7 linked regions of the Canis lupus familiaris genome follow. The protein of the gene in region 3 purifies or fractionates together with the protein of the main gene of each other region. This does not show direct contact. Links are inferred from orthologs where the notes say so. Each region holds a gene or a part of one and is shown on either strand. Other genes may lie near its edges. The genes, in order: SMARCA4, DDX5, FUS, ZNF326, SAFB, DDX17 and DDX39B.

Region 1 (4,071 bases), on a different chromosome or scaffold from region 3:
CCCAATGACAGGAAGTCATCTACTCCATCACTTTTCAGACTGCCCTGTTCAGAAAAACCACCTGGAAGGCCTGTTAAATTTGAGCTCCCTCTGCCCAGATCCTGTCTCAGTATTCTGAAGTGGGAATCTGTATTTCTAGTACATTCCTGGGTGGCATGGGAGCTGCTGGCCCAAGGAGCCCACCCAGCTCAGCCCCTGTCTAAACTCCAGTGCTGCATATATGGATGCATGCCACCAGTGTTCCCTCTCCTGAGGCTGCTATAAGACAAGTAGGCCCAAAACAGGCACTGGCCAAGTCCAAGCTCAACAGCCGTCTGTGGCAGTCTCCCACAGGGCTAAACTGTCCTGGGTCTACCCTGAATCCACCTGTCTACCCTGAATCCACCTGTGGGAGACCAGGAGACCCAATTAGGAAAATGATGTCAGGACATCCAGGGTTGAGGGGAGGAGCTTAACAAACACAAGGAGAGAAGAATAATGAAACAGTACCTTGGGAGTGCTGGTCCATGGGGCTTGGCGGGGGCCCCATCCCTGCATGGGCCCCTGACCGCATCCCCATTCCCTTCATCTGGTTATAGCGGGGGTCATCCGACATGCCCTTCTCATGCATGGACTCCATTGGCTGTAAGAGGGGTCAATGACAAGGCAAGATCAACAAGAGGGAACAGGAAGAGGCAGCATGCAAAGTGCTACCGAAGAGTTCACTGCCACTGAAAATGTCCGCCCAAGGTCGCCCTGGTATGTACTGAATCACCAATGTGACCAACCAGTTTAGGTCCAAGCCATGGTCCTGACACCTGCTGGTCTCAAGCAGATGCATGAAGCAATGTCACCTAGGGACTAGTGGCCTGGAAGTGAAGGGAGAGATGGATCAGGGAACCATGAGACAGTTTCAGATGTCCAAAATACCATGAGGAAAAGATGTGAGCTCCTGCATGAGGAGCTGTTTTGGTTGGGACACCAAGCTCTCCACTAATCGTTACAAAGAGACCTGGTGACCACAAATCTTTGGATCAGAAACCCTCTTCCTTGGGAGACTATATATCAAAGGGACAGACAGAAATTTCTGCCTAGAAGTATGATTGCAATACGTTAGGTGTCCTCACTGATCTGCGATCGGCCTCCAGCCTACTAGTTGGGAGGAAAGCTGTTTGTGGTGTGGTTCTGTCCCTCCTAAGAGGCACATCAGACCTCTGTAGATTGATGACACCTATTTTCTCTCCTAAGGCTCATTCCTAAGGGGACATTTTCTAAGACCCTTCCAGGCCACTCTGCTAGGCCCTGATTGGCACAAATATCCTGGTCTCCAGGAACTCAGTCTAAAGGGTGGTCCAGCAAAGTCAACTACAGCTCAGTGTGTACCATAAGAGAAGGAAGAGAGGATGAAGAGAGGGTGCTTGGTGGCGACCACAGGAGCAGCTTCATATGCAGGAAAAGGGTGGGGCCCTCAGGAAGCTGCAATCTCTGCAGGCGAGGGGTGTCTCACTACCATCTGGGTCCTAACACCAAGCAGGACAAATAGCAGCTGTCTTGCAGACCTGTGGAGTATGTGCAAATGACCCCAAGAGGAAGAAACGAGGTGGACAGAGAGGGAAGGAAGCTGTGCTGGAGAAGCCAGACTAAATGGGGGGGGGGGGGGTCAAGTCACCAACAGCTTCCCAAGAAGGAAGTGACAAGAAAGATACTATGGACAGAAATGTGCAGGAGATGGAGAGGCAAAAAGGGCCAGAGGGATGAGATGACTCACCACTGACCATCAGATGGTAAGTGACCATCTCTCCGGGACCCTAGGGACCCTACTTCCTCATCACCTACCTCTGATGGACAGGGGGAGATTTAAGTGGAATAGGGTACAAACACATGGACAGCCCCAGAAGGGAGGCTGGAGGGGTCAGCAGAGACCCCTCACCTCTGGGCCGCACAATGTGCATTTTCTATTTTCACACAAAGGGTGTCTTGTGGTCTCTGAGGCTTGAACATGTTACCTTTTCCTTTAGATGCTGATACACCTAAGACATTTCTTTGATTTCCCCAACTACCACCTAAGAACATAGTGAGAAAGGAAAACTATTTGTGTTGAGGTTTTTCTCTCACCTCACTGGCAAAAGCACCCCTGATCAGTTCAAGAAGTCATTCAAACAGTGAGTGGCACCCAAGTGCAGGATTGAGTGCGGATATAGAGCACCCATGGCCTGCTCTGTAAGTTACATGGGTGAGCAGAGCAGCCCAATGCAGGAAACCATGTGACATAAGGAACTTTTAGGGATTTGGACATGTTTATTTATTAACAAGAGGCAACTTTGGAGCAGTGTTACCACATCTCCCATTTGGAATGAAGGGCATGGGAGACACAAAGTAGGGAGGCTGCTGGCTCACAGCAGAAGCCAGGATGTACTGTTTACCCTCCCATCTCTGATCACGTTGACCCAGACCATCAGGGTGGTGGGCCCAGGCTCCCTACCTTGTGCATCTGGTGCATGTTGTCCTGAGGGTACCCTCCAGGCCCCTGGGTCGGGATGGGGTGTCCTGCTGAGGGAGGTCCCGGACTGGGCCCCATCATGCTGTGGGCAGAGCCAGGTGAGGGACCTGGACTAGGGCCCAACATGGCTCCAGGGGAGGGTCCCGGGCCCGGGGAAGGGCCTGGCCGAGGAGTTCCGCCCAGGGGTGGGTCTGGAGTGGACATCTTCACAGGAGCTGCAGACAGTGGTCTCCTGTTAGAAAGAAGTCCTGGTCAGTTTGGGGATCACGGCCATCACTAGGGCACCAGAGCTGGCAAGGGAGGACCACATGTACAGTATTGTGAGAAGCACCCATCTGACAGAGCTGGCACCTTTGACGTGCAACCCCCACCCCCACCCCCACCCAGACCTTCCATCGCCATTCTTCTCACAGAAGAGAATACATCAGGCATACAAAATCATATCAAAGGTCCCCGAGGAAGGGATGGGACTCAGGAGGTGGAAGTCCACGGCCACTGCCCCACTTGGGGTCTCACTTCCCTTGCTATTATTCTGATCACAACAAAAAGAATGAACATCTCAGGGTAGTACAGATACATCCTTCACACCTAGTACTTGCCATCTTCCTATTTACAAGGAAGAGCAAGACTAACACTCAAAGCCTCTGCCGGCAACCGTGTCCAAGTGGGCCTTCATAAATTCAACAAAAACAAATATTCACGGCAAGTGATGCTGGTTTTTTACTTAAGGCAGTGAGACCAAGTTTCTTTTAAAATAAATGAAAGTTGGGGATCCCTGGGTGGCGCAGCGGTTTGGCGCCTGCCTTTGGCCCAGGGCGCGATCCTGGAGACCCGGGATCGAATCCCACATCGGGCTCCCGGTGCATGGAGCCTGCTTCTCCCTCTGCCTGTGTCTCTGCCTCTCTCTCTCACTGTGTGCCTATCATAAATAAAAAAATAAATAAATAAATAAAAATAAAATAAAATAAATGAAAGTTTAAAACATAGATTCATTTAAAGTATTATACAAACAATGGCATTCTGATATCTCAAACAGTTCTACAGCGATATTCACGTGTCTAAAGTTAAATGAATGTTGCCAAAAACTAAAAATTGATACCCAGAGCATCTACAAGATCCAAAAATATACTTAAAAAAAAAAAAAATCTAATGATGATGGTAAATTTTGCTTGCTACCACCGGGCCATGAGCTGGTAAATTTTATACATGCTTTCTATAATAAGGCTTCAATGTTCAGGTAACTCTCAACCTACTGTGTAGTTATATATAGCCTGAAATAAATTCTCTTCAATCTAATAACTTCTTTCATGACGGTGGCATAATAAATACATTTGCAGGGCTGAAATGCAGAAAATGCAAAAAGAACACAGAAACTTAAAATCACCCAGCATCCCACGAGACACAGAGGTGAAATGCTTGCTGCCCTGCAAAGAGCAATAAGCAATCCTGCTCTCCTAACCCCAGCTAGCAGGGCAGGGAAAGGTGCAGAGTAGGAAGAAAGGGTTGGGGGTTGCCTCAGTGGGTTAAGTATCTGCCTTCAGCTCAGGTCACGATCCCAGAGCGCTGGGATCCCTGCTTAGTGGGGAGCCTAC
Region 2 (2,939 bases), on a different chromosome or scaffold from region 3:
TCTAGTCATTATTGAAATGAAGTGTTAGAAAGATCGGTGAGCCAAAGTTAAATCTAAAATAATCCATCATCCCCTGACCTTTCTAGCAATAAAAACCCATGTTGACCTAAGACGACTTGTATAAGTCACTGTGCTTTTGGTTATGTTGCTTCCTCTTGGTTCATCATTCATTTACTTTCACGGGGTTTTGTTTGAATATGAATAGACCCTCCAGTTTTTAAACTCCTCTAGAGTTCCCTGAATTATGGTAAAGACATTCATGATTCCCAGTGTCAACTACAGTTAAATGTCCCAAGAGCCTGAAGACTACAATCTGTATAAATTTAAAGTCTTAGCTTTGTTCACCATTTTGCTAATTCACATTAGAGCCAAGAGCAAGACTATAAACTGTTCTGAAAAATCAAGTTATTTGGAGCTTTTCAAATATAAAATTTTGCGAAGAAATAAAGTCATCCACGTTGTTCTCACACTAAGCAGTTTGAGGGTGGGGCTATACAGTTGATTATGTCCTATTTTAATCTCACTTCCCCATTCTGCTAATAAATAGGCTATTAAATGACTCACCTGATGAGGTACTGGCAGAAAGCCTTAATACAACTTAGCCTACAATTGTAAATTTACTTAATCTCATTTAATTCTTGCAATATAAATAGATCATTTTTAAGAAGGGCCTTCTGTTCTCCCCACTTCCCAAACCTAAATCATAGAAAGGAGCAGTTAATTTAGTTTTTATGGTTAAAAAAAAAAAACAAAATCAAACCAGACCATCTAAGCAAAGTTTTACATGACATTATAGATGTAAAATAAAGTACAATTTCCACTTAATTCAGTCTTCAAATATTTTTTATTGGAAGGCCATGCGTTGCCTTCATTTATTGTATTTCAAATCACTGTACATTTACTTTTGTGAAAACACTGCCTGCATTTTCTAGTACAAAAAAAACCTAAAAATTGTTTCAGGAATGTAGAGAAATATCCAACTTAAATAGCGAAAAAGTGCACCATAATTACTGCTGCACTGCAGTCATTTCTGCATTTCCCATGTTTCTTAAATAACTATCTTGTCTGATAACACACAATATAAAGAGCAATTATGAAAAACAGACATTTACATATACTTCTAAAGTCTTATTGAGAATATCCTGTTGGCATTGGATAACCAATCATAGGCGCAGCTGCAGTAGCAGGATATGCATATGCCTGTTGGTTCATACCATTGTGCATATTGGGAACATTACTTCCATATTGCTGAGTGCTATCGTAACCATTCTGGTAAGTCCCTGTTGGATTACCAGTCCTAAAACTGGTCTGTATACCAGCAGACACAAAATTACTTCCAAAGCTCCCATTGGTGTAATTTGCAGCACTGTAAACACCATTCTGAGTTTTTGCCCCAAAATCTCTCTTAAGCAGACTAGAGTAACCTCTGTCATAATTTTCCCTGTCTCTAAAGGTATTAAAGCCACCCCTTTTGCCCGCAGAGTATCTGTCCCGACGGTCATCCTTCATGCCTCCTCTACCCCTGGAACGACCTGTCAAAAAAAAAAAAAAAAAAAAAAAGAATTGCAAGCTGATTATTTCCACAGCACAAATCATTACTAGTACAGAAAAAATTAGAAAGAAGCTCTATTCAAAGTTTAAAGTGTTTTCTCAGTTTCATATGAAGATTTTACTCACCTGCCAATCCCATTTAATGGATTTGCAGACAATCATGTGACCCCAAAATCACCAACATTTCTTAATGAAGGTTAGTCTTACCTGAACCTCTGTCTTCGACCAACTGAAGCAACTTTGGATTAATTGCTTGATTAGCTTCACGAAGCACAGAGATAAGGTCGCTCACTTGCTTTATGTTATTAGGTGTAAAGAAAGTGTATGCTGTGCCTGTTTTGGTACTGCGAGCAGTTCTTCCAATTCGATGAATATAATCCTCTGAGGAGTTAGGGTAGTCATAATTGATGACAAATTTCACATCTTCCACATCTGTAAGGTGTTGCAGTGTGGCAAAATAGCAATGTACGGAGTTTTGCACACCACAACAGCCAGACCAAAAATAAAAAGTTAGACAATTGTATTCCCAAGAAGGTACGGGCTGCAAAAAATACAGTTAAAATGGTTATCCATTCCCTGTAGGAATACCATTGAGGTTGGAAGGAAAAAAAAAAAAAAGCACACACCATCTACCTGTCTCATTGCCCACCCAATGACAGAGCACCTAACAAAAGGACGTGTATTCTCTAACATATTCCCAAACCAGCAAGTCCCCTTACAGATCATCAAGTGACATCTGAATGCTTCTGCGCAGTAGGGCCACTTAAAGGTTCACAGCAACCTCTTCATGTGCTCATTTTGAGGACCTTTAAACAAAAATGTACATGGTCCTTTGCATTACACACTCATCAGAAGTTCAAAATTCTGGCCACACTGCTTGTCTTGCCAAGACCTTACAACCGCAGCTGCAAGAAAAACATACCTGTCCCCCAAAAGTTGTTTTTATGCACTGTGTCTCGTCTAGGCAAGCGCTTCCAAGAAGCCAGGATTCACTTGAGAATGTGTCTCTCTCTGGCAGGTCTCGACATGACGACTACTGTGTAGGTGAGGGAGGAACTTTCAAAGCACTGCTTTCTTTTCCCACTGACTAAGTGTGAGAAGTTGCTCCTGCTCTAGATCTCATGTGCCAGTACTCACCAATTTGTAAAAGGCTTAGTACCTTTTAAAGCTGCTCTCTCCATTTCAAACTTGAACAAAAATTTCATTGAACATTGAAGTTTGGAAATATTTCTTCAACATTTCAGCAAACTCACTGAAACTCAAAGACCCACAGATCACAGTAAACAGTTTGAAACAATGCTGTACCATGGCAGTCATGCAAAGCATGGGACAGAAGAAATACCACGGCAGTGAACTGTGAGGATAACTTCCATTTTTTTCCCCCGGAG
Region 3 (4,071 bases):
TGGTGGAAGTTAAGAATATTAGCCTTAGGGTGGGAGGGGAAGGGCATCTTTGACCTTTAATTTAAAAGATTTCCAAGCAGCTTCCAAGAGGCTGACTTTTCAAGTGTGGGTAACAGTAGTAGTACATAAAGTTTTCTTTAACTTGTTTCCTGCCTTTTTTCTCAGAGTCTTTATGATTTCTTTTGCTTGTAGCAGGCTATGGCACTCAGTCAACTCCCCAGGGATATGGCTCAACTGGTGGCTATGGCAGTAGCCAGGGTTCTCAGTCATCTTATGGGCAACAGTCCTCTTATCCTGGCTATGGCCAGCAGCCAGCTCCTAGCAGCACCTCGGGAAGGTAAGGAGTTTGAGGGGGAGGTTTGGAATATGGTTAGAGGTGAATTGATAAGGAATGATGTGATCAACAGGAGCAATTAGGTGGGGGGAGAGGGAGGAGTCTTTGTAATGGAGTGGGGTAGGGAATGGAATGCGCCAAAGATGAAGTCTTGGACGTGCTGGCATTCTGATTCTGTTTGTTTCTCTTTCCTTAGTTATGGTAGTGGTTCTCAGAGCAGCGGCTACGGGCAGCCCCAGAGTGGGGGCTATGGCCAACAGTCTGGCTATAGTGGACAGCAGCAAGGCTATGGACAGCAGCAAAGCTCCTATAATCCCCCTCAAGGCTATGGACAGCAGAACCAGTACAACAGTAGCAGTGGAGGTGGTGGCGGAGGGGGTGGTGGAGGTGAGGGGTCTTGAGCTTTGCATCATTCCTACTTTTTGTAGAGATTTATATATACTGCTTGGCCCCTTAACTCTAAAAAATTCTTAAAATTTTTTTTTCTTGTTTCTTAGCTGTCTTTATTTTCATCATTCTTAATCTTTTGGTACTGTTTAATGCCACGTGTGTTTTTTCTTTAAAGAATCCTTTGTTTTCTGACAGGTAACTATGGCCAAGATCAGTCCTCCATGAGTGGTGGCGGCGGCGGTTATGGCAATCAGGACCAGAGTGGTGGTGGCGGTGGCTACGGGGGAGGCCAGCAAGACCGTGGGGGCCGCGGCCGGGGCGGTGGCGGTGGTTACAACCGCAGCAGTGGTGGCTATGAACCCAGAGGTCGTGGAGGTGGCCGTGGAGGCAGAGGCGGCATGGGGTAGGTGTTCTTGTGAGCTAGGGCGTAACATCAGTGGGGAGTGTGAAGGGTTGCATGAATCTCCCTTGAAGCTCAGTTCCTTAGTGCATGGTTAGTTTTTTTTCTAGGGGTTTGTGAGGGCTTAGAGTTGGGGGTATTGATGGTTTCTTTGTACATTCCCATTTTTTTATGAGAATTGGGGAGCCTGAACTCCCACCCACACCTCTGAATAGAGATTTGAGTACTGACACTTGTATTTCCAAAGAAGAAGGGAAAATATACATGGGTGTATGTGGATTGGAGTCATTGATATCCTAGGCAAAAAACATGGAAGTAAAGTCTTCTTTCGCTGCAAGGGAAACCGATGATCCCACTCCTGGTAATAGGGAAACTTGTTTACATGTATTCCCATGTGTCCTCTAAAGGAGTTGCTAATGCTTAACCTCATGACTTCAGCTTCCAGGAATTGGCTACTCTTCCCGTATATTGTAGTCATTTGAATCCATGAGCTTGATTTGCAGTAATTTGACTGGCAGTAATGATTTTGTGTGTGACTTGGTTTATGGGGCTGTCTGAAGTGTGCAGGCCTTTTGGACAAAATATGCTTGACAGTGGTGTCCCATCTCTTTGCTCCACTGTCCCCCTCCCCTGGTTACTTGTCCAGCTGGACCTTCTCTTTCTTCCCCTTCCCGCTGTAGTTGATTGAAGTAAAACCTTAGATTTGATGTTAAAGCATTGGTCAAATCTGTTGGTAAACATGATTTGAAGGACCCTCCTCTGTCTCCCTTTGAAAGGGGAGGAATGTCAGTGTGTTACTCCTTTTTGGGAAAAAGTAGGTTTTTTAAATGAGAGTTTGTATATGGTAAGTATTCAGAGGTGGGTGGGGGCAGTCTCAAAAACCATACGAAAATAAGGAAAACTCTGTTGTGTGCGTGTGTTTAATGCAAAACTTTAAAAGAAAAACAACTGTTATGTGACTGTTAACTTGCTCTGCATTTTATGTGCCACAGGTATGAAAGGTGACATTGCAAAATACTCCGCTCTTCTCGCAGTGTAGAAGGGGTGACCCCGGGGGTGGGGGGAGATCAAAAACAGCTCAGTAGTTAGGATAGGGCTTAGCTAAGTTTGTCTTGCTTTAAGGGGAAATTGCCTTTGGTTTTGACTTTTTATGGAATGGGGTTGGGTCTGCTTGCTGCTTTCAAAGCAAAAACCACAAAAATGTGTTCAGGGCTACCCCAGCCTGGTGTGAAATGTCTTCTGGGTGAATTGGGGGTAGGGTTTTTAAACCAACTACTGGGTTGTCCACCACTCACGACAAGAGGAAAAAACATCTGCTACATCGGAAGAACGACCAAGGAAAATGGGTCATTTTTTTTTCCAGAGGAAATAGATCTATAACCTTTTAAAAAGCAAAATCCTTAAAAACTGTGTGAGAAATTGCACACGTGTGTGTGACATGCTCAAAGGTCAGACAAGGGGTGGTCAGGAAGGGAAATGTATTTTAGTAGCCACTTGTATCTTTTTCCCAAAACACCTACCCATGTTTGGGGAATGTTAAACAAAATCAAAAAAACGCCCTTTTGTAGCCGTTGGAAGCTTCATGTCCTTTCTTCTAACTTGTCTTCTCCAGCGGAAGTGACCGTGGTGGCTTCAATAAATTTGGTGGTAAGTGAACAGAGTTTCCAAAATTCCCAACTCCCAGCAATGCTTTGTCTGATTGTTCATTTGCAGATGTTTTAGCGTGTTTTAAGTGTCAAAAGGTTTTGAAGTGTCCAGAACCACCTCCAGAAAGGGGTGGGGGAGAATGCCACCTGCTGCCAGTTGTGTGCTAACCTGGAGGCAGGGGAGTAAGACTCGGCAGTCGTCTGGTGCCAAATTGGTTTGACCCAGGTTACTAAGAGGTGTTTAGTAGGCCTCTGACAGGAGTGTTGCCACACCTGGCACTTAGTGACCACCATTTTGAGAAACTGGAGAGTGTGCTGGAACACGTGGTGCCAACTTGGCTTTAGGATCCTTTTGATCATTGTGTCCAAGGCTAGTGTGTGTGTATTTAACAACCTCCAAATGTTTTAATTCTGGAAGGGGGATGTGAACTATTGCCCTGCCCTAGGGATGGTGAAGTTGGTATATATGTATCTATATATTAAATACTGAATGGTGTCAATGCAATCCTACATATACATACTTAACTCAGATGGGCAAATAGAGACTAGCTCTGGGAAGGAAGGTGTGGACAACTACAAAGAAAGGTTGGGAGCATGTGTGGCTCATGGGAAATAACCAGGTCTTAACAGCACAAACTGAATTCATGGAAAAATGGCAAATTTGAGAAGTCTCCCAGTAAGCTGGAACTTTTCTGGTTTGGTTAACTAACAAAAGGTTTCTTGATTTGTCTCAACATTTAAAGCCAAAGGCTTGGGTTCATGATTTAGGTGTCATTGAGTGTGGGTACAATATTTATATATGGTGAATTCAGATAAACTTTGGTCAAAGATGGTCTCTGGAAAAAAAATAGAGGCTGCATTATGGAAATAAGATTTCTGGTCTGTTCCCTGGGACATGCTTTAAAAATACAATAGTTATTATGTATGTTTTTTTATTTTCATGTGGTTGGGGAAACAACATGGTTTTAAGAATGGTTTGTAAAGATGAAATTAAAACTTGTTCCACAAGGGATAAATAAGTGTCTTTGGTGTTAAAAGTTTGGAGAAACTGGATGGATGCATATCACATTGCTGGTGGTGAGCCCCTTTCTCTCTGGGGTGAGAGAATAGGGCCAAGCTATGAGTTGGTTTTGTTAACTGCAATGGGTCTCCCTGCTGGCCCCCCAATCTGTGCTGAGGACATTTCCCAGCCTGAGCTGGGGGAGGCAGAATTTCCTGGACTGTGGAGTTGTCCCTGTGGGGACTCAAGTTACATACAGATCTTAAGGGGCCTGTGTCTTCCCCAGCCCTGTCTAGGAGTT
Region 4 (4,071 bases), about 42 Mb from region 3:
AAAGAACCCACTAATTATAATCCAAATGGATCTGTTCTCCTTTTATCTTACCCTTACACAAATATTTTTAAGTAAAGGAGAAATTAAATAAAAAGTAAATAAATGAGAAGACCACTGATCAAGTCCTACTATCCTTAAAATTTTAACTCCTGAGCACAAAGGCTTTCTGAAGCCTATTTAAATATCAGACTCTTAGCTGGGATCCAAATTTCTCCAGTCTTCAACTAACCTTCTCTTACTTGGCTATAAATCCCTATAAGTGGATACAAAGGATTTAAAGCGTAAAGATAAACAAATCCAGCTCCCAACAATGAACCCATATTAGCCCCCCAAAATGCAGTTTTAAATGCTTTGTATGCAAAAAGAGAAATTACCTGTGAAATTCTACAAATGCCTACATGTTCATGCACTTAATGCTTTAAAATTACATAATATTCCCATATATTCATCCACTCAATACCTCAAAATTTTGAGAAGCTAACTTATTTCACTGCAAGTCCCCCTCTCAAAAGAAGCCAGAATAAAGATTCAAAGAAACAAGAGCACTACTTTTCAGTGACAGAGATGGTCATGTGAAAATAGACCATCTATCAATCTCATCTTCTTTTGCAGTGTATGTAAGCCTACAAACTACAAAAAGTTTAAAAAAAAAAAAAAATATTCGAGAGAGAAATATTTCTTTTTTAGAAAAGAGATCGTTTGCTTCTTGGTTCTTCAGCTAAAAACAGACACGACAAAAGAACTAACACAACTATAAAAATCATTTGTATCCAAATGTATTTTCAAGAAGATTTCAAGATCTGACACAGGCACAAAGAAAAGGAATTAAAACAAGTATAAACAAGTCAGTTGTAGACTGACCTCAACTTGAAATATGCTAAAAAATATTTTAGTAGTACTTTAAAAAAATGATTGAAGTAATTTTTTTTAATTCAACTCTTCTCATTTATGTGAGCTAAATTCCTACATTAAGGCAAAACCTCATTTTACTCATTTAATTGATTAATGGTTTCATTTAAAATTGCTAATCCAGGGAAGGTTTTTGTAAAAATCGTTTTATTGCTACAAAGGGAAACATGGTCACAAAAAGCCTTTAAGCGTATCTTAACGCAAATTACTATTCAATGTCCAATGCCATAAAAAAATACACAGTCAGAGCACAAAATACTTGCCCAATTTATCTCTTCTAGGGTAAGTATTCAAAACATTAATGCACACTTGAATATATACTCCCAACAGCAGCATTTAAGTTCAAATGATTAAGTAGATATACTAACAATACACATCTGTTATCCTTAACACCAATAAAGTAATAAAAATTAAGCTTAAAAATTATACAAACAATTTATCTAATCTAAGTTTGGTAGCTATAAAAACTAAACTAAAATAGTCTTACCTTCATTTTATTAAACAAAATGGCAAACATTTAGAAATTATATAAAACAAATTTGAATGTGTGGAATGCATGCAACATGGGTGTTAATTCTCATATTTTAAACTATTAAAATTCTTACCCTTTTCCATATTAGGAGAGAAATTTAAAGCTTCTTTTAAATCTAACACCGTATATTTAATTTTCTTCAGGTTGGTCAACAGGGAAGTTAACAGGCTCTTCCTTTGCTTCTCCTTCCCCCACTGCCTCTCCTTCCCCCACTGCCTCTCCTTCCCCCACCGCCTCACCTTCCCCCACTGCCTCTCCTTCCCCCACTCCCTCTATGTCCCCTGCTTCCTCTGTGTCTCCCACTCCTTCTTCTCCTCCTCCTTCTCCCACTTCCTCTGCTTCCTCCACTTCTTCTGCTTCCTCTACTTCCCCCACTTCCTCCTCTTCTTCCTCCTCCTCCTCCTCTTCTTCAATAGGTTCATCAATTTTTTCTTCCTCTTCCTCATCTCCTTCTATTTGTTGATCTTGAGAATGATCTTGAATTTCAAAAGGATTCTCACCCTAAAAAGCATAAGGAAAAACAGCTTTTAAAATCAGGACATTAAAAAATAATAATAATAAATAAATAAATAAATAAAAGCAGGACATTCATCTTTGTTATCAGTGAACTTATTTGCTATGACATTAAAAATAAATACAGTTTGAAACTTTTTATTTTAACTTATGACAAATCCACTAAATATCTATTCAGTACTTATTTTCATATCACTATGGGTATATAAATTACTAAAAGCATTACTATACATTCCATAAACTGGAACAGTCAAAGGCCACATTTTCCTAACTGAATTTCTAAAATCATATGACAAAAGTAAATTTGTGAGTTTTAGTAGGAACAAAGTAAATAAAGCAAAGATTTATGTTCTACTAAATTATGCCACGATTCAATCTACTACCTACTGTGGCAGGATCTCTATAAAACACTCAAATGAAAATCAGGTCTTTTTAAAAATTCAAATGAATGAAAATCAGGTACCTATTGGATACACCTTACTTTTTCTTTATGGAAAGTAGATAAATATTTAATTCACTATGGGCACCTGAGTGGCTCAGTCGGTTAAGCATCTGGCTTCAGTTCAGGTCATGATCTCAGGGTCCTGGGATCGAGCCCTGCACTGGGCTCCCTGCTCAGCAGGGAGTCTGCCTATCCCTCTCCAGCTCTGCCCCTACTCCTGTGGTCTCTCTCTCAAATAAATAAATAAAATCTTTTTTAAAAATCTGTAATTTACTAACATTCACAGATACAACTTTATTAATTTTTATAAATACTTGAATTATGTGTCTGGATTGTCTCATAGGCCATATCAGAAGGCTATATTAATACAGTAAGAAATGAAGAGGCGATGAAGTTTATTAAACAGTAAAGTATAAGACTGGTATTCTAGGGCAGCCTGGTGGCTCAGCAGTTTAGCACTCCCTTCAGCCCAGGGCGGGATCCTGGAGACCCGGGATCCAGTCCTACATCAGGCTCCCTGCGTGGAGCCTGCCTCTCCCTCTACCTGTCTCTCTAATAAATAAATAAAATGTTTTTAAAAATAATTAAAAAAAAAAAAAGACTGGTACTCTACTTCAAGATCCATCAGGTAGGAAGCATAGGATGAACTGAAGTTGCAAGAGAAGAAATATTAGTGAGGGAGTTACTCTAATAATTCAGGAAAGTGTAAAAGATGTAGCAGCATATTAACAGAATATGTAAATTAAGATGGGGAAAGTGGAAGAAGCAAATATATGCTTTATATAATTAGAATTTAAGATGTCTAAATGTCTAAGAGGCAGCTGTAAATTCACAATTCAAGAGAGTTCAAAGTAAGACATTTAAATTTGTGAATTGTTTGCACAGAGTGAATACTGAAGCCAGGGAAATAAGCAGAATAAAAGGGCCAAGGAAGTAAGAATAAAAGCGCTGATGAGAAAACCCACTGAAAATTCAATGCCTATACACAGGGACAAAAGTTAGAGAGAAAAAAAAAGTGCAGGAGGAAATTCAGGATAGTAAAATATTATCCAGCAAAACAAAGTTACAAGAATAAGTGACAGATTAACAGTGTCAAATAAAACAGGTAATACTAGAAAAGAACTGAAAAAGGTCACTAGAGTTGATAATTATTAAGGTTGAATGAGGGTACTTGAGGGATTTATTACACTATCCCTTTTATTTTTGTATGTTTAAAATAGTAAATAACAAAATGTTAAAAAAACGTATTTGAAAATTAAGTCACCAGTTATCTTAGAGCAGATCCAAAAGTAGATGTACATGAAATCGGACAGCAATGACTGCCCAAGAGTAAATCTTCATTATTGTTCTAAGCTCCCCAAAACCACAAGTCCACGTTCCACACTCTGAGACTCTAATTCAGTCAAGAATTAAGAGTTCTCGCTAAAAACCCAAGTTCCTGAATCAATTTCAGACTTTCTGAATGAAAATTTCCAGGAGAGAGATCTGCTGAACTGCATACTTAGGAAGCACTTCACGAGATATTAATCAGAAGTTTGGGAAACTCTTAATTCAGAAGGTCTTAAAGGGGGCCTAGGCAGCTTTTTGTTTGATTTCAGCTTCACAAGGAATTCTAATTACCCATCTCCAACTGACAACTACCAGGTTAAAGAATGGATAATATAGAGAAATTAGA
Region 5 (4,587 bases), on a different chromosome or scaffold from region 3:
TTTGAGGTCTTCTTGTTTCCTTCTGAGGTAATTTCAATTTCATCAGGATTACCCCCTTCATCTTCAATTGCCTGAAGGGAAGGGTAAAAAAGTTCACCAAAAAAAGCAGCATACAGACTTGACTTTCATAGAAACTTCAGGTTGCTGATCTGGAAAGGGCCTCCCCCTACCCACTTGTTGTCTTGCTCTATCTTGGAACAAAGGCTCTGAAGTCAACTTATTTCTTAATGCTAACGTCACCACAATCTAGTTCATCCTATTCCTGGACCCAAGGGAATTCAAAAAGCACAGTCTTCCATTTCCTATGATTTCACCCAGCAATATGCTGCTTCGACCCTCTGTGACATCCTCTCTATCCCCATGCCTACTCTTGGCACTGTCTGGACAGAACGCTTACTCACTTGGCTGAGATGTACTGTGTGTGCCATGAGACTGGACATGACCCATACCACTTCATCAGATCACCCACATCTATGACTGACTCCAAAGGTCTTGTTCTTAACCACTAGGGGACCTACCTGAAAGGATAGGGAGTTATAACCACCTCTTGGGCAAGCCCCACCTCCCACCCAAGAGCTCATCATTCCCTTGAACAGTCTGCACCCACGCTCAGCACAGGGCGTAGCACCAAGGAGGTGAGCAGCAAATGTTTACTGAGCATGACATCAGTGATATCCTTGAATACTGGGCTTTGCTTTTAGGCTTTACTGATAACCCTTTTTCTTGTTACTGTACTATTCTATAAACACAAGTTCTGTTTAAACCCACTTCAGGGCAGCCCTGGTGGCCCAGCGGTTTAGCGCCGCCTTCGGCCCGGGGTGTAATCCTGGTGACCCGGGATCGAGTCCCACGTTGGGCTCCCTGCATGGAGCCTGCTTCTCCCTCTGCCTGTGTCTCTGCCTCTCTCTCTCTCTGTGTCTGTCATGAATAAATAAAATAAAATCTTAAAAATACACTTCAAACAGCATGTTTAATTTGTAGATAGTTTAAAAAATTTCAGATCCTCAGCAGTTTCTTAGTGTGGAAGTCTCAATTTGCAATGGGGCTTATGGGCTCCACATCTAATCTGTACCAGGAACAGAGAAAATTTCTCCCTTTTCTCCAAAGCCAGCATGAGGAAAAGGAATTGGGAGTTCTGCTCTGGAATCAAGGAAAGCACAACCAGAAAGTCCCTCCCATTCTTGCTGGCAAAAGAGGACTATGGAATACCCCTAGGAGAAGAGAGAACTGCCCCAGACAAGAGCTGTACCATTTTGCCCCTCAATAGGTCTTCTCTGGGTGCAGTGTTTACAGGATCATCCCTAGGGACGCTGTGGGCTATGAGTCATCTTTATAAAGCTTGGGAAACTACACTCTTTGTGTTCCTTCAGCCTTTTCCTCATTTGCCCTTCCTGGAAAAATGACCAGAAAAAGGACCCTAACTATATGCCAGAAGTAGAAAAAGAAAAAATGACCAACAATTCCAGATGCACTCAATAAGAGAGCAGATAAACGTACAGACCAATGATATTTACATACTACGACCATACCTCTGAGAAAATAAACAGAAAAAAGAAATGTAAAATGCCTCAGAAATGATAGGGAGGATCCTTGAAGTCACAGGCCCGTTTCCACTACCAATCTGACGGGAAGGTTCTCAATGCCATCCGAAAGAGATAAGGGTCCCAATTTGGCTTTGCTGACCGGGGGCCCTGGTGGCATCCTTTCTAGAACACCTTAGTTGATGAATTACCTGCCGCAACCCGAGTAGTAAAGGAAGTTGGTATCCACGGTGAAACAAACACAAGCTCAAGCCAGAAAAGCCCAACTGACTCTGAACTTAACCAACCCACCGTTCTGAGCCCCAGCTTTCTCCTTCAGGAAAATGGAAACAATCCCTACTTCCCCTTAACAGTCACCAGTAATAATTAATACCCTGCCTGGGTCCTCAGATCGGGAGCCAGGAGGGTGGAAGGAGTCGCAAATCACACTGCCTGCAGGGGTTGGGGGTGGTGAGCCTGAGATTGCACGGGAGAAGGCTCAAGAAGAGAAAAAAAAAAGGGGGGGGGGTCTGAACGACAGAAAAAGCAAAGAAGCCAACAAGGATATGAAAAAAAAAAAGGGGGGGGGGAAGCAGAGCGACCCGAACATTGAACTGCTCGTGCTTTTCACCCCCCCCCCCCCAGGATAGGGATGAGGGCCCCGGTTTTGCAGATAAACGGTGGCACAGAGGAGGGCGGCCAATGGGGACAGGGATCCTCTCCGTCCTGTGCCAGGCGGCACGCCAGGCCCGTTTCATGCAATCTCGCCTAATCCTATAGCACGGAAGCGCGCTCTCCCCTTTTCCCTGCAGAATACACGGGCCGGAAGGGCGCTAGGCGCCCTGGGAGCGCTGGGAGCCCGGGGCCAGGCCGCGGAGAGCCGCAGGGGCCGGAGCCCAGGCGCGGGGACGGGGACGGGACGGACCGCTCCGCCCGCCGGCGTCTGTTCCGTCCCCGCTCGCCATCGCAGACAGCACTTCACTTTCCGCGCCACTTCCCCGACCCACGGCTGCAGCATTCACATTTATAAAAAACAAAAAAACAAAAAACCACCTCCGAGCATGGGCCCGGCGCGTCGACCCTGCCGGGCCCGGAGGGAGCCCCGCGGCCGGCCCGGGTCCCAGTCCCGCCGCCCCGTCCGCACGGCCGTGTGACCTTGGCCGAGGCGCCCCCACCTCGCCCGGGAAGCCGGGGCGCGGGGGCTCCCCGTCATTTTCGGGGGCGGCCGAGAGCCAGGCCCTCCGCGGGCGCCCCCGCCCGCCAGGCCCCGCCGCCCGCGCCGGTTCGCGCCCGGACTCTCCTCCCTCCCCCGGAGCCCCGCCGCGCGGGGAGATCCCGCCGGGGCCTGGCAGGAGCCGGGGGAGCAGCCCGGAGCCCCCCCCCGTCCCGGCCGCGGCCGCCCCCGCAGGGCCCCCGCTCCACCTTCTTGAGCCGCTCCATCAAAACGCTCTTGTTGCCGCTCGAGTCCAGGTTCCGTTTCTTCAGCTCCGCCCGCAGATCGATCACCCGCAGGTCGCTGAGACGCCGCGTCCCGGTCTCCGACGAGGCAGAGCTCAGAGCCGCTGCGCCCGCCGCACCCGAATCGCCTAGGCCTGAGAGAGTCTCCGCCATTCCAGGGACCCTGGCTCCGCCGCCCACTTCACACAGAACCGGGCCGGTTTTATCTCGGCACCCAGCACAAAATGGCGCCGCCTGCGAGGGAACCGCTCCAGCCGCCCTGGCGCGCCTCTCTTCTGCGCAGGCGCACCCGGCGCGGAGCCGACGCTGCCGGTCGCGTGTGCACATGCGTGGTGAGCGCTCAAAGGGCTGTGCGCAGGCGCGTTGCATGTCGACAGCCTCCCGCCGCGCACGGCCGTCACGCATGCGTGCTGCAGTTACGGCGCTTGCGCATTGCGGCGGGGAACGTGCGGTTGGTCGACGCGCGAGGGCGCGTGCTGTTAAGAAAGCTGGCGTGTGCGGCACGCATGCGCGGCCGGAAAGCGGGGCGGGAGGAAGCGAGTGCGTTTTCCTCTTAGGCGGCGCCATTTTGTGCTCAGAGCCGCTACAGCCGCCGGCGGTGTGGGAAGTGGGTGGCGGGGGACGCGGAACCTGGGATGGCGGAGACTCTGGCAGGGTCCGGCGAGTCGGGTTCTGGCACAGCCGCTGTGGGATCGGGCGCCTCTGAGGCCGGGACGCGGCGGCTGAGCGACCTGCGGGTGATCGACCTGCGGGCGGAGCTGAAGAAGCGGAACCTGGACACGGGCGGCAACAAGAGCGTCTTGATGGAGCGGCTCAAGAAGGTGAGGCGGCCCGACGTCCCGGGGCGCAGCGGGGGGCCGGGGCACGCCCCCGCGCGGGCCTGTCACCGCGGCGCCCGGACGCGGGCGCCTCTCCTCCACCGTTCCCGCCCGGGACTGAGCCCGCGGGGCCCCGGGGGCCGGGCCGGCCGGGCTGTGTGACCTTGGCCCGTCACCGCCCCTCTCTGTGCCTCGCCTGTGCTCCCGCTCCCAGCTGGTCGCCTCGGCAGTGCTGGCAGCGCGTCCTTCGGGCCACCGGGCGGCCCCTCGGCTCCTTCCGGGCCCCAGCGCGGGGGGGACCCGGGTCCGTGACCTTGGGTAGGTGCCTTCTGCTCCCCGCGCCTCAGTTTGGAGAACAGAGGAGTGACGAGGCTTTGGGATCTTCCCGGAGAGGGAGTCGTGCTTGTTCCCCCTGCAGGAGCTCTGCTCCGGTCGTGCCCTCCGCTCCGCTGCTCTTCTCCTGCTCGGCGCCCTGAGGTCCTAGCGGGTCTCCCCAGGGTCCTTCCTGAAGGGTGCGCCTTCCCTCGCCTCCCACCCTGCACCGTCCTGCGTTGATGCCCCGCTTGGCCGCCCTCAGCCCCAGGTTGAGTGTGGAGGGATGGTCTTGCCCGACCCAGACGAGCTCCTTGCAGAGCTGGAGTTGACCCCGGAGTGCCCAGGCTGGCGGCAGTCCTGGGGAAGAGCCGCCTCCCTCCCTCCCCACCTCCGCCAGGCACACACCCCCTACCCCATTTGTCTAGTGGGTTTTCTCCCCAAGTGTCAGACCGAGCTGGTGGAACACCACTCAGCCC
Region 6 (4,779 bases), on a different chromosome or scaffold from region 3:
AACCTGATAATGATACAAATATATAATTACATACTGTGAAAAGCCTTATGAAGACAAAGGAGCTATGAGATGCTATAGATAGGGACCTGATCTAGTAGCAAAATATGATTTTTCCTCGACAAAACAGAGGGAGGGTTTCAGTGGACCTAACTTAATTTATAAATTATTTATAAAGAGAGCCTCAGATTTAATTAGCCTATCTGCTAAATAGGCAAAACAGTCTGAATTATTCCTTAAGTGCCTGTACAGTCTAAATCACAGGAGCTTGTTTTGTCACTCCTACAAGGTTTATCTTTGAGACTTACCTTCATATCCCACCCATTAGCAAATCATTAGCTACATTTTCAATTAGACCATGTCTCCTTTACCCCTTGCTATTAGTCTGCACCGAACCCCATCATCTCTTGCCTAAACTAGTGCACTAGCTTCCTAATTAGTCTACCTGCTTTTGCCCCAACTCACTCTCAATTTATTCTCTATTCTGTAGTCATAGGGGCCCTTTTATTATGTCACTCTAAAAACTTTATAGAGATTTCCATTTTACAGAAAGGAAAAAACAAAGTCCTTACAGCAGCCTACAAATCCTTCAAATCTCTCCCGTCTTTCCTCATTACAGCCCGCCACGGCCTTTGCATGTGTTCCTTCCTCTGCCAGCAAAGCTAACTCCCTCCCTTTAGGTCGCTGCTCAGATGTCACTGAATTAGAGAGGCCTTCCCCCAGGTCACCCCATGTAACACCGTGACATCCATACACTCCCCTCCCCCACAGACACAGAAACACTATCCCCTTTCCTCGCTTTTTCTATTTTAATCAGCAATCTTTATTTTTTAGTTAGCAATCTTTAAATAACATAAAGATTCATTGTTTTATTCCCCCCCATTGTGGTATAAAGCCCATGAGGGCAGGAACTCACGTGTCCAGTGCCCTCTGCCCCAGTGCCTAGCACAGTGCTGGGCTGATGCAGTGTTCAGCACAGGTCCAGTGGTTCCAATTGTCCATCTGCGCTACGGCCCCAAGGACCTCTGAACGGCTTGTCACCAAGCTCCTTTCCTTGAGCTCCTTTTGTCATAATTTGGGAAACATTTACAACCAAGAGACAACAGCCCCCACAATGAAGGACCTCGAATCCCGCGCCCCCGCCCCCCTCCCCCATCTGTAGAAATAAACAAAAGAGACATCAGATGAGCAGCTCGCGAGGGCCTTAGCAGCTCAACAATTCTGTGACGCTGTCTGGCCAGGTTTGTGAGACCGTCAAGCTCAGTCTGAGTGAGGAGGCAGGAAGTTGGAAACCAGCGTGGAAGGAACTGAGAGGAACATGCTCCGGCCTGGTTAAAAACACGTGCTCAGGCCTTCACCTTCTCTGTGTCGAAAGGCCACGGCTTTTAACCGTCCTCGCCCGGGGAGGGCGCTGAGGGCCTGCCAGGACCTCCCGAGGCAGCGCCGACGAACGGAGACCATGGGACCCGGGAGTCTTCCTCAACAGGGGCTCCACCTGCGTGTTGGTTCTTTGTTAGCCAACTGCGCTCAGCCCCCGACCGTGAATATTCTGCTCAGAAAACGCACTTCGGTGTGAACCAAGCGTAGCAGGGAGTGCTTTAACCTGACTGGGACCTCGTCCGCCGACCACCTCCCGAGAGAACCGACAAGGAGCATCCATCATGGCTGCCGGCAACAGCGCAGCGAGAGGCAACCGAAAGAAAATGGCGCCGGGGCGCGCGGCCGGTGACGGCAGGCCCAGGCCGGCGGAGCGACCCAGGGACGCCATCCAGGAACCCTGAAGACCCGCCTGGACCCAAGGCGCCGGGAAACCCTGACACTTCACGACTGCAATATGGAGGACGGTTATTGTGTCTGCAAACCAACTTGCACAAGGAGGCCCGTGTTCCGTCCCGCGTTCGGAACCCGGCAAAATCTTCTATTCTCCAAACAGAATGCGTTACGCACACTGCGCATCTTCGCAATAGTGGGCCGGGTAACGACGCAAAGAATGTTACGTCGCACCGGAGGCTCTTCCCCTCACCCCACCCCACGTTCTAGTTCAGGTGGCGCGAGCACTCTACGCCCGCTTCGTACTTTATTTTTCTTCTACGGACTGCAACATGTGCCGGTCTGCGCAACTGACGTAAATGGCTTCCAAGAATGCCCTTAGTACTCCGCCAAGCCCTCGGGCTATTCCAAGACGCTGTTTACGTATCGTCTCCGACGTACGTAGCGTTAAGCTGGAGCAGTCTCAGCGCCGGCCGCCATTTTGTGCAGTCGCTGGGAAGGAAGGAGACGCCTAAACCGCGGCACTGCCGGGTTTGAGCGTAGCCAAACCTACCCACAGTTTTTATAACCCCGATTCTCTGTGTTTTGCTCCCGTCTCCGACGAGAGAGGCGGCGACGGTGGCGTCTGCGACGGGAGACAGCGCGTCGGAGCGAGAGAGCGCCGCGCCTGCCGCCGCCCCAACAGCGGAGGCGCCGCCGCCATCGGTCGTCACCAGACCGGAGCCGCAGGCCCTCCCGAGCCCGGCCATCCGTGCCCCGCTCCCAGATCTCTATCCGTTTGGGACCATGCGCGGAGGCGGCTTTGGGGACCGGGACCGGGATCGTGACCGTGGAGGGTAAGGGGGGAGGGGGAGAGGGAAGGCCTCGCGTGTGCGTGGGCCGGGGGGAGGGGGAAGGTTGTTTCCTGAGGAGACCGCAGCCTGCCGCCGAGCGGGAGACCTGGAGCGGACTGCAGGCCTGGGAGCGACGCCCCCGACTCCGGGAGGCGAGGCGACCTGGGACATAATAGCGGTTTGGTGTGCGGGCCTGCGGGTGGGCCTGCGCCCCGGGATCACGGGAGACCCGGCGTGGGGGGGCGGCCTGGCGACGCCCCAGCCCCTCCTTTCGGACCGCAGTCGTGGCGGGGAGCCGGAGCGGCGGCCCGAGCGCCGCAGACCCAGCCTGGCCTCGCCTCGCCGCCCGGCTGCCGGGCCCGGCCGATTTGGGCAAGTCATTTGATCTCTCCAGGCCTCAGCGCTCATCTGTAAAACACGGATGTTCTTGCTGAGAAGAGGAGGAGGTCTCCGAGTTCGGCCTGGGAAAATCTTGACGCCAAATGGCTTCCCTTATCTTATCTGTCGCCAGAGATAACTGCTAAAGGAACTGGAAATCGAGTTGGAAACTAGACGCCAAATGGCTGATTTCTAGTTTTAAATGTATCTTAAAATCCCCTTTAGTGGTATTTCAGATAATTCGAAGGAAGCACTTTGGACAGTAAAGCAGTGGAATTGTTTGCCATCTAAATGATCTTATTTGAGGAGGGGAGGGAGGGTTTTTTGTGGGTTTTTTTGTTTGTTTTTTTTTTGGTTACTGTAGGGTTCCCTCCCACCCTGTGTTCTGTTCTTCTCCAGTTGGACTGGAGTATTAGTTGCTCGGCCTGGTTAGAAAGTTTCGATGCGATAATGCCACGGCTGAAAGTTAACAAGATTAAAGTTCTTCCCAGATACTGAGATTCAGATCTTAACATAAGTTAAAGGGAAAAGTTGCCTAAGAGATGCGAATGTTCGTGCTGTTAACTTTTTGTAATAAAGGTCTTATCTCTGGATAAATAATAATGGAACGCCAGTTATTAATATATATACATATGTGACCTTGGGCAAGATCCTGGACCTTTTTGTGAGCCTATTTTCTCAACTGAAGATGGGCATAATAATTGCCTTTACTTTGCATTGTTTTCGGGAATTGAGATCTATGTAAAATTGTGTCTTTGTGATAGGTGTTCTGTTGATATTTTCTCCAAACATTTTTGTCTTTTGCGGTTCAAATACAGAAGTCCCAGACCTCTAGTCATAAGCACCTCAATTCACTTGAATTGCCGAATAAAAAGGATTATTTTGTTTATACCTTGTTAGAAAAGAAAATATTTGATCTTAGTGTTAAATTTGGAGGGCTAGAAGTGGAATGTTTGCTTAGAGTTTCACAGTATAGCTCAATTTAGAAGTGAATTTCAGTGCAACCACTTGAGACAAAGAATTTTTGACATTACCTAGTAGAAAATGACCCAATAATTCCTTTCTTAAGCTTTGTACCCTAGACACAAGCCTAGAGAAATCATTGTACGTGTTCCCCAGCATTCATGTACAAAAAATGTTCATACCAGCACTGTTCATGAAAATATTGGGAACCACTCTTCTGTCTAGATAAAGGGTGGGTATTCATTACAGTAGAATGTAACACAACCGTGGAAGAAAAAAAAAAAAAACTTGCATCAAAATGGATGACCAGCAAACATTGAAAAAGCAAGTTGTGGTAAAAGGATACGTATATGACCGGACTCCAAAAAGCAAAAATCAAGATGGTAGTTGTAGTGGGTTTGTAAACTTGAAATAGGCACAGAGGGCTACCAAGGTACTGATCATGTTCTGTTTCTTTACCATACCATAGGTGTTTGGTTTAATACTTAATTTCACCATATACATGTTTTAACAAATTATTTGAAAAGAAGAAAAAGTAAATTACTGATCCATATTTCTACCCCATATTGACTATCAGATGACATTTTTTTTAAAGCTTTAAACTTTTCACACAAAATGGCACTTTTTCATGATGTTTGTGTCCTAATTCTACATTTACCATGAAATTGCATTTATGATTTTGAGTTACTATATTCTTAACAATTACAGAGCCGAAATAGATTATTTTGAAGAGAATAAAAGTGAGGTTAGTGTATATGTGTACATGTAAAATCCAAAAGTGATGTGCCTTGTACATTTAAACTAGCATGATATTGCACATTAATATAAATCTTCAGAG
Region 7 (4,655 bases), on a different chromosome or scaffold from region 3:
CATGAAAAGAAATAAAAAACACTCATAAGGTTATAAAACGAGAGAATAGTACCTAATACTTGGTGTCACAGAACCATAACGAAAAAAAAAAGGTTAACAAATGATTACCTTCTATGAAGTTCGATTAGAGGTAAGAGAACACAAATCTTTTCATCATGAACCTTCTATTACTTCAGCATATTTACTGCATGTTTACCCCCACATTGTTATTTATTACTACTTTGGTTCTTAAGACTACTTCCAATTTAGGGGTGCCCGGGTGGCATAGTCCGCTAAGTGTCAGCTCAGGTCCCAATCTTAGGGGTCCTGGGATATAGCCCCATGTGGGACTCCCTGCTTAGAGGGGGAGTCTGCTTCTCCCTCTCCCTAGACCTCCCTCCCCACCCGACCCCATCCCGTTCGTGTGTGTTTGCTCGCTTAAATAAAATCTTTTTTAAGAATTACTATTTTTAGTTTAGGGCTAGGACTCAACACATGAGTAACAGGAGAATATCACAACAATCCAAACAAAAGTACTGTTTTTCACCACATCCTAGTCAGGAAGGTAGGAGGTTATACACATCAGCGCTTCTCAAACTCCAATTACCTGAAGATTGTATTAAAATGCATGTTTAAAAAAAAATAAAAAAAAAAAAAAAAAAAAAAAAATAAAATGCATGTTTAAAAAATAAATTAAATAAATAAATAAATAAATAAATAAAATAAAATAAAATAAAATAAAATAAAATAAAATAAAATAAAATAAAATAAAACAAAACAAAATAAAATGCATGTTTATACTCAGTTAGGTCTGGGATGGTACCCATATAATCAGCATTTCCATCAGGCTTCCAAATGATGCTCTAACTAGAGGTCTGGGAACCATACTATGAAAATCAAGATCATATATGGAAAACCGCCCAAACCTCGTCTGTTGTGGCCCCTAAATATCTTTCAATTTTCTGCCATTTTAAAGAATCCTCAAAATTCACACACCACACACTTAAAGAGATATTTTGAAGCTTCCAGCTTTCTCTTGCACACATCCTAGAATTCTCAAACTGTCAACCAAAGCACAATGAAATCATTCAAAGTCAGTATAAAAAAGTAGTAAACCCAAGTGTAGTACTGTGGTAAACATCCTCCAGAACCCATTCCATGCAGTCTTCCGCTGCTAGCTATATTAACATGATGTGTTAAGAACAAACTAAAGCTTCTCCAAAATTGGAATATAGTGAACATATCAGAAATTGCAATGTGTATTCAAGTAAACCATAGAATGTAAATCTCCTGCACACCAAAGTTTGCAGAAACTGACCAGCTATTACAAGTAAATGACCTTCATATAAAGTTAATTAATCATCTGAGAAAATGAAGACTGCTGGTCTACAAGTCTTCAATGTCTCCAACTCCCCACACTCTCCCAGGTTTATCTTGGCTTACCTTGACATTGGGCATGTATTTAGAGAAGCGCTCATACTCCTTGCTGATCTGAAATGCCAACTCCCGGGTGTGACACATCACCAGCACAGACACCTTGGGTGGAGGGGGGAGTACATGGAGATAAACAGTATATACTTACTATCCCCTCTGGGGAACCAACTGTCACAAAAGCACATCTGACAGATCATAAATTACTTCAATTCTGAGATCTAAACCATTAACCCCATGATTACTATGTAATATCCCCCAGGGCCATCAGTCAAAGGTGACAGAGTTCATCTTAGCCACAAACACTCATGGCTCTAAAAGCATCACACAGCTGAGACAAAACACCCTTCTCCAATATTCCTAACCAAAAATGTCTTCCATAGCACTCTCCCCAAGTGTACCTGTCCAGTAACTGGCTCCAACTGTTGTAGTGTGGCCAGCACAAACACTGCTGTCTTTCCCATCCCTGACTTGGCCTGGCATAGGACATCCATTCCCAGAATGGCCTGAGGGATGCACTCATGCTGGACTAGAAGCAGGGGGAGAAAAAAGATAAATTAGACTTCAGTCTCCAGATAACTCCACAACCTTTTTTCACCATGTCAAACCCATTTCCCACCCCTTCTTAAATGGTTATCAATTTCCAGACCCCTTCTACCTCTCTGCTCCCTCAGATTTATCTCAAAACCAGATAGACCTTCCTAGTTCCTTCTAGCTTTAGCCTCCTCCAACTCCAGTGCCCTCCCCCCACCCCACAAACTGCAAACAACCCTCTTGCACCTACCAACAGTTCACCTTTGGTGCTTCTGACTCTGTCCCGACTTTCCTTGATCTGTAACAATCCAGGACATGTGACTGCCTGCCCCAAGCCATTTCTCCTACTTAGCTTCCCTTGCTTTAAGGCTACAAAACCTTGCAACTCTGAAGGGGTTGGTAGCTGATCCAGAAGCCACCCATTTTAGACCAGCTATGAAGATTTCCAGAGACCAGAGGTGGCCTGGCCCAACAGGGAGAGACTAAAGGTCCAACCAGTCCTCTCAGGAAATTCAAATTTAGAAACCTAAACAACAAAATTAATAACAAGTAGACAAGAATAAATGCTGGTCACAAGCACAAACCTCTAAGTTGCTTTTAGGTCACTAGCCTTTTCATGTTATCGTGAACAAAAAAACCAATCTATATAAATCTTTCCTACTGCTGAAATAGTTTTTGACCTTTATTTCCTAAAGTAGCCTAAATAAGAACGTTATTACATTAAGTGACTGTTTAACACACCTTTTTCTTGTATCCTTAGAGAGCCTAGTGAACACTATGACCTGCAGAAAATTTACCTTCTGATGGATGTTCAAAGCCACAGTCAACAATGGCCCGGAGCAACTCTGGCTTCAGCAGGAAGTCACGAAAGCCAGAGCTGTGGATGGAGACGTAGGAACCCTTGACATCCTTCTTGGCAGGGGCCTCAGACCCGTCTCCCCCAGCTGCTGTCTCTACTTCATCTTCTTCATAGTCCAAGAGTTCATTGTCCACATCATTTTCTGCCATAACTGGGCCGGCAGGGGGAGAAGGAGATGGGTCTCTGGATGGGTTCACGCAGAATAAGTAAAAACAGAGGAGGAGAGTGGGGGCTGGAGCAACAGTTAAAAAAAAAAAATACCCTAGTTTGTGATAGAAGAGCTAGGAAAAAAATAGATGGAGGACTTATTAGTCAGGAGCAGAGCCTTCGCCCCTCTTTTCCATCCCCACACTCTTCCCACTTTCCCTAAACTGTGACCCCTTTACCTGGGGATAAAACTAACAGGAACACAAAACATAAAAGCAACAGCAAACATAACACAGTGGTCCCAAGTGAGGTGGTTGAGACACAACTTTTCAACAAAATTAGGATCAGAATAGCATTAAGCAGGAAGTAGGAAGGGGACAACCAGCCCATGAATTCCTCATCTGTAAGCAACAGTAATGAAGAAAAACGGGTAACGAAAAGCAAAGTAGGACAACGGAGTGAAGAATGGAGATGACAAGGTAAGTGCTGAAAATCCTCACAGGACCTCTCTGCTTTCCTAGTAATCTCCCTAACAAAGCAGCCATCAGTTACTGGTGATAGATTAAGGTCATCCTAGCGCAAAGCGCTCACTCCTCGAAATAACATCATGTGGCTGCCATCCACCTCCCACTCCTCAGGAACCTCCCGGTGTCTAAGGGGTCCCCGTGTAACGTGGGGGAGGGGATACAGAAGACGTGGCTGGGACGGGAAAGTACTCGTCTCTTCTCCATAGAACGAGAGAGAGACAGCATTCGCTCCAGCTCTACCAGGAACTATAGCAAAGGGTCTTCTGTTACTCCTCAGATCAGACTCCTCTCCGATAACCGACATGACACCACGCATGAACAAGTGGAAAATGTTCCAAGTGATGGTTGGTGAGCTCACAGAAGGGTCCAACCAGGCTCAGTAGTCGGCTCCTCCTCCAGTTCCCACCTTGGGCCATTAAGAGGACCCACAGAAGAGAGGAAAAGTGAAAGGAGCCCCGCCCTCCGCAAATGCCCTGGACTAGAGGACATCTACGCCGCCTCTCACCATAGCTAGGGCCTCGGATAAACGAGAAGCCCAAGCGAAGAAGCAGTGAGCGAAGGGAACACAATGGCGCTGGGGCCACCATCTTGGATTGGGCCCCCTAGCATCGCTACCCCCCCCTCCAGAAACTCTTAAGAGCTCTGAAAAGGGATGCAAGCAATAGAAATAATGACCCAACTAGGCCCCAAGGACCAGACTATAGTCTGTGGAAGGGGTATCAGGAGTCCAGGGAACAGGATGGCCGCAAAGAAACGCAGATGGAGGCGGATGATACCGAAGGCCAAAGCTTACCTGAGCAAGGCGAGCGCATATGGCGGCGGCAGCAGCGACGAAAGAGGGACTCTGCCTTCACTTCCGGTTTTCGCCTTCTCTCTCCCAGGCGCCTCGCCTTCCCGCCTGCCAGCACGCAGGCGCAGGAGACCGGAAGAAGACCCTTTCAGATTCGAGAGTTCCGCGCGCTCCGGGGTTGCCTTTAGAAAACGCCTGTGTGGATTTTTTTTTTTTTAAAGGCACTTCTAACTCCTTCGCTACTGCAAGTAACAAAAGCCTTGAAGGAAACTAGCATCGTCTCCCACTGTTACCTCTTTTCTCTGTCCTCGTCCACTCCGCGTCCCTCACCTCTTCCCTCGGGTTCTTGCCGGCAGGTCTTCTCTCTGGTCACCCCTCCGTGGGCGCC

The links.
Region 1: the proteins of FUS (region 3) and SMARCA4 purify together in Homo sapiens (affinity purification with mass spectrometry; 3 studies listed by BioGRID, with this or other methods). This does not show direct contact. The link is inferred for Canis lupus familiaris from reciprocal best matches to the Homo sapiens genes FUS and SMARCA4.
Region 2: the proteins of FUS (region 3) and DDX5 purify together in Homo sapiens (affinity purification with mass spectrometry; 5 studies listed by BioGRID and IntAct, with this or other methods). This does not show direct contact. The link is inferred for Canis lupus familiaris from reciprocal best matches to the Homo sapiens genes FUS and DDX5.
Region 4: the proteins of FUS (region 3) and ZNF326 purify together in Homo sapiens (affinity purification with mass spectrometry; 3 studies listed by BioGRID and IntAct, with this or other methods). This does not show direct contact. The link is inferred for Canis lupus familiaris from reciprocal best matches to the Homo sapiens genes FUS and ZNF326.
Region 5: the proteins of FUS (region 3) and SAFB purify together in Homo sapiens (affinity purification with mass spectrometry; 3 studies listed by BioGRID and IntAct, with this or other methods). This does not show direct contact. The link is inferred for Canis lupus familiaris from reciprocal best matches to the Homo sapiens genes FUS and SAFB.
Region 6: the proteins of FUS (region 3) and DDX17 purify together in Homo sapiens (affinity purification with mass spectrometry; 5 studies listed by BioGRID and IntAct, with this or other methods). This does not show direct contact. The link is inferred for Canis lupus familiaris from reciprocal best matches to the Homo sapiens genes FUS and DDX17.
Region 7: the proteins of FUS (region 3) and DDX39B purify together in Homo sapiens (affinity purification with mass spectrometry; 3 studies listed by BioGRID and IntAct, with this or other methods). This does not show direct contact. The link is inferred for Canis lupus familiaris from reciprocal best matches to the Homo sapiens genes FUS and DDX39B.

What each region holds. Positions count from the first base shown.
Region 1 is NC_049241.1:50,647,748-50,651,818, forward strand, and holds part of SMARCA4 (transcription activator BRG1), read right to left. Parts: intron 2,712-4,071; coding exon 2,462-2,711; intron 623-2,461; coding exon 490-622; intron 1-489. UniProt on the Homo sapiens protein: ATPase involved in transcriptional activation and repression of select genes by chromatin remodeling (alteration of DNA-nucleosome topology).
Region 2 is NC_049230.1:14,622,569-14,625,507, reverse strand, and holds the end of DDX5 (probable ATP-dependent RNA helicase DDX5), read right to left. Parts: intron 1,984-2,939; coding exon 1,759-1,983; intron 1,533-1,758; coding exon 1,129-1,532; 3' UTR 826-1,128; downstream 1-825. UniProt on the Homo sapiens protein: Involved in the alternative regulation of pre-mRNA splicing; its RNA helicase activity is necessary for increasing tau exon 10 inclusion and occurs in a RBM4-dependent manner. Binds to the tau pre-mRNA in the stem-loop region downstream of exon 10.
Region 3 is NC_049227.1:17,226,430-17,230,500, reverse strand, and holds part of FUS (RNA-binding protein FUS), read left to right. Parts: intron 1-192; coding exon 193-337; intron 338-530; coding exon 531-721; intron 722-919; coding exon 920-1,127; intron 1,128-2,736; coding exon 2,737-2,771; intron 2,772-4,071. UniProt on the Homo sapiens protein: DNA/RNA-binding protein that plays a role in various cellular processes such as transcription regulation, RNA splicing, RNA transport, DNA repair and damage response. Binds to ssRNA containing the consensus sequence 5'-AGGUAA-3'.
Region 4 is NC_049227.1:59,114,909-59,118,979, forward strand, and holds the end of ZNF326 (DBIRD complex subunit ZNF326), read right to left. Parts: intron 1,943-4,071; coding exon 1,571-1,942; 3' UTR 761-1,570; downstream 1-760. UniProt on the Homo sapiens protein: Core component of the DBIRD complex, a multiprotein complex that acts at the interface between core mRNP particles and RNA polymerase II (RNAPII) and integrates transcript elongation with the regulation of alternative splicing: the DBIRD complex affects local transcript elongation rates and alternative splicing of a large set of exons embedded in (A + T)-rich DNA regions.
Region 5 is NC_049241.1:54,773,952-54,778,538, forward strand, and holds the start of SAFB (scaffold attachment factor B1), read right to left. Parts: upstream 3,271-4,587; 5' UTR 3,132-3,270; coding exon 2,943-3,131; intron 811-2,942; exon of another isoform or gene 769-810; intron 72-768; coding exon 1-71. Other genes in the region: SAFB2 (scaffold attachment factor B2), read left to right, coding at 3,614-3,799. UniProt on the Homo sapiens protein: Binds to scaffold/matrix attachment region (S/MAR) DNA and forms a molecular assembly point to allow the formation of a 'transcriptosomal' complex (consisting of SR proteins and RNA polymerase II) coupling transcription and RNA processing.
Region 6 is NC_049231.1:27,280,884-27,285,662, forward strand, and holds the start of DDX17 (probable ATP-dependent RNA helicase DDX17), read left to right. Parts: upstream 1-1,831; coding exon 1,832-1,972; intron 1,973-2,310; coding exon 2,311-2,603; intron 2,604-4,779. UniProt on the Homo sapiens protein: As an RNA helicase, unwinds RNA and alters RNA structures through ATP binding and hydrolysis.
Region 7 is NC_049233.1:1,178,734-1,183,388, forward strand, and holds the start of DDX39B (spliceosome RNA helicase DDX39B), read right to left. Parts: upstream 2,953-4,655; coding exon 2,742-2,952; intron 1,940-2,741; coding exon 1,812-1,939; intron 1,516-1,811; coding exon 1,423-1,515; intron 1-1,422. UniProt on the Homo sapiens protein: Involved in nuclear export of spliced and unspliced mRNA. Component of the TREX complex which is thought to couple mRNA transcription, processing and nuclear export, and specifically associates with spliced mRNA and not with unspliced pre-mRNA.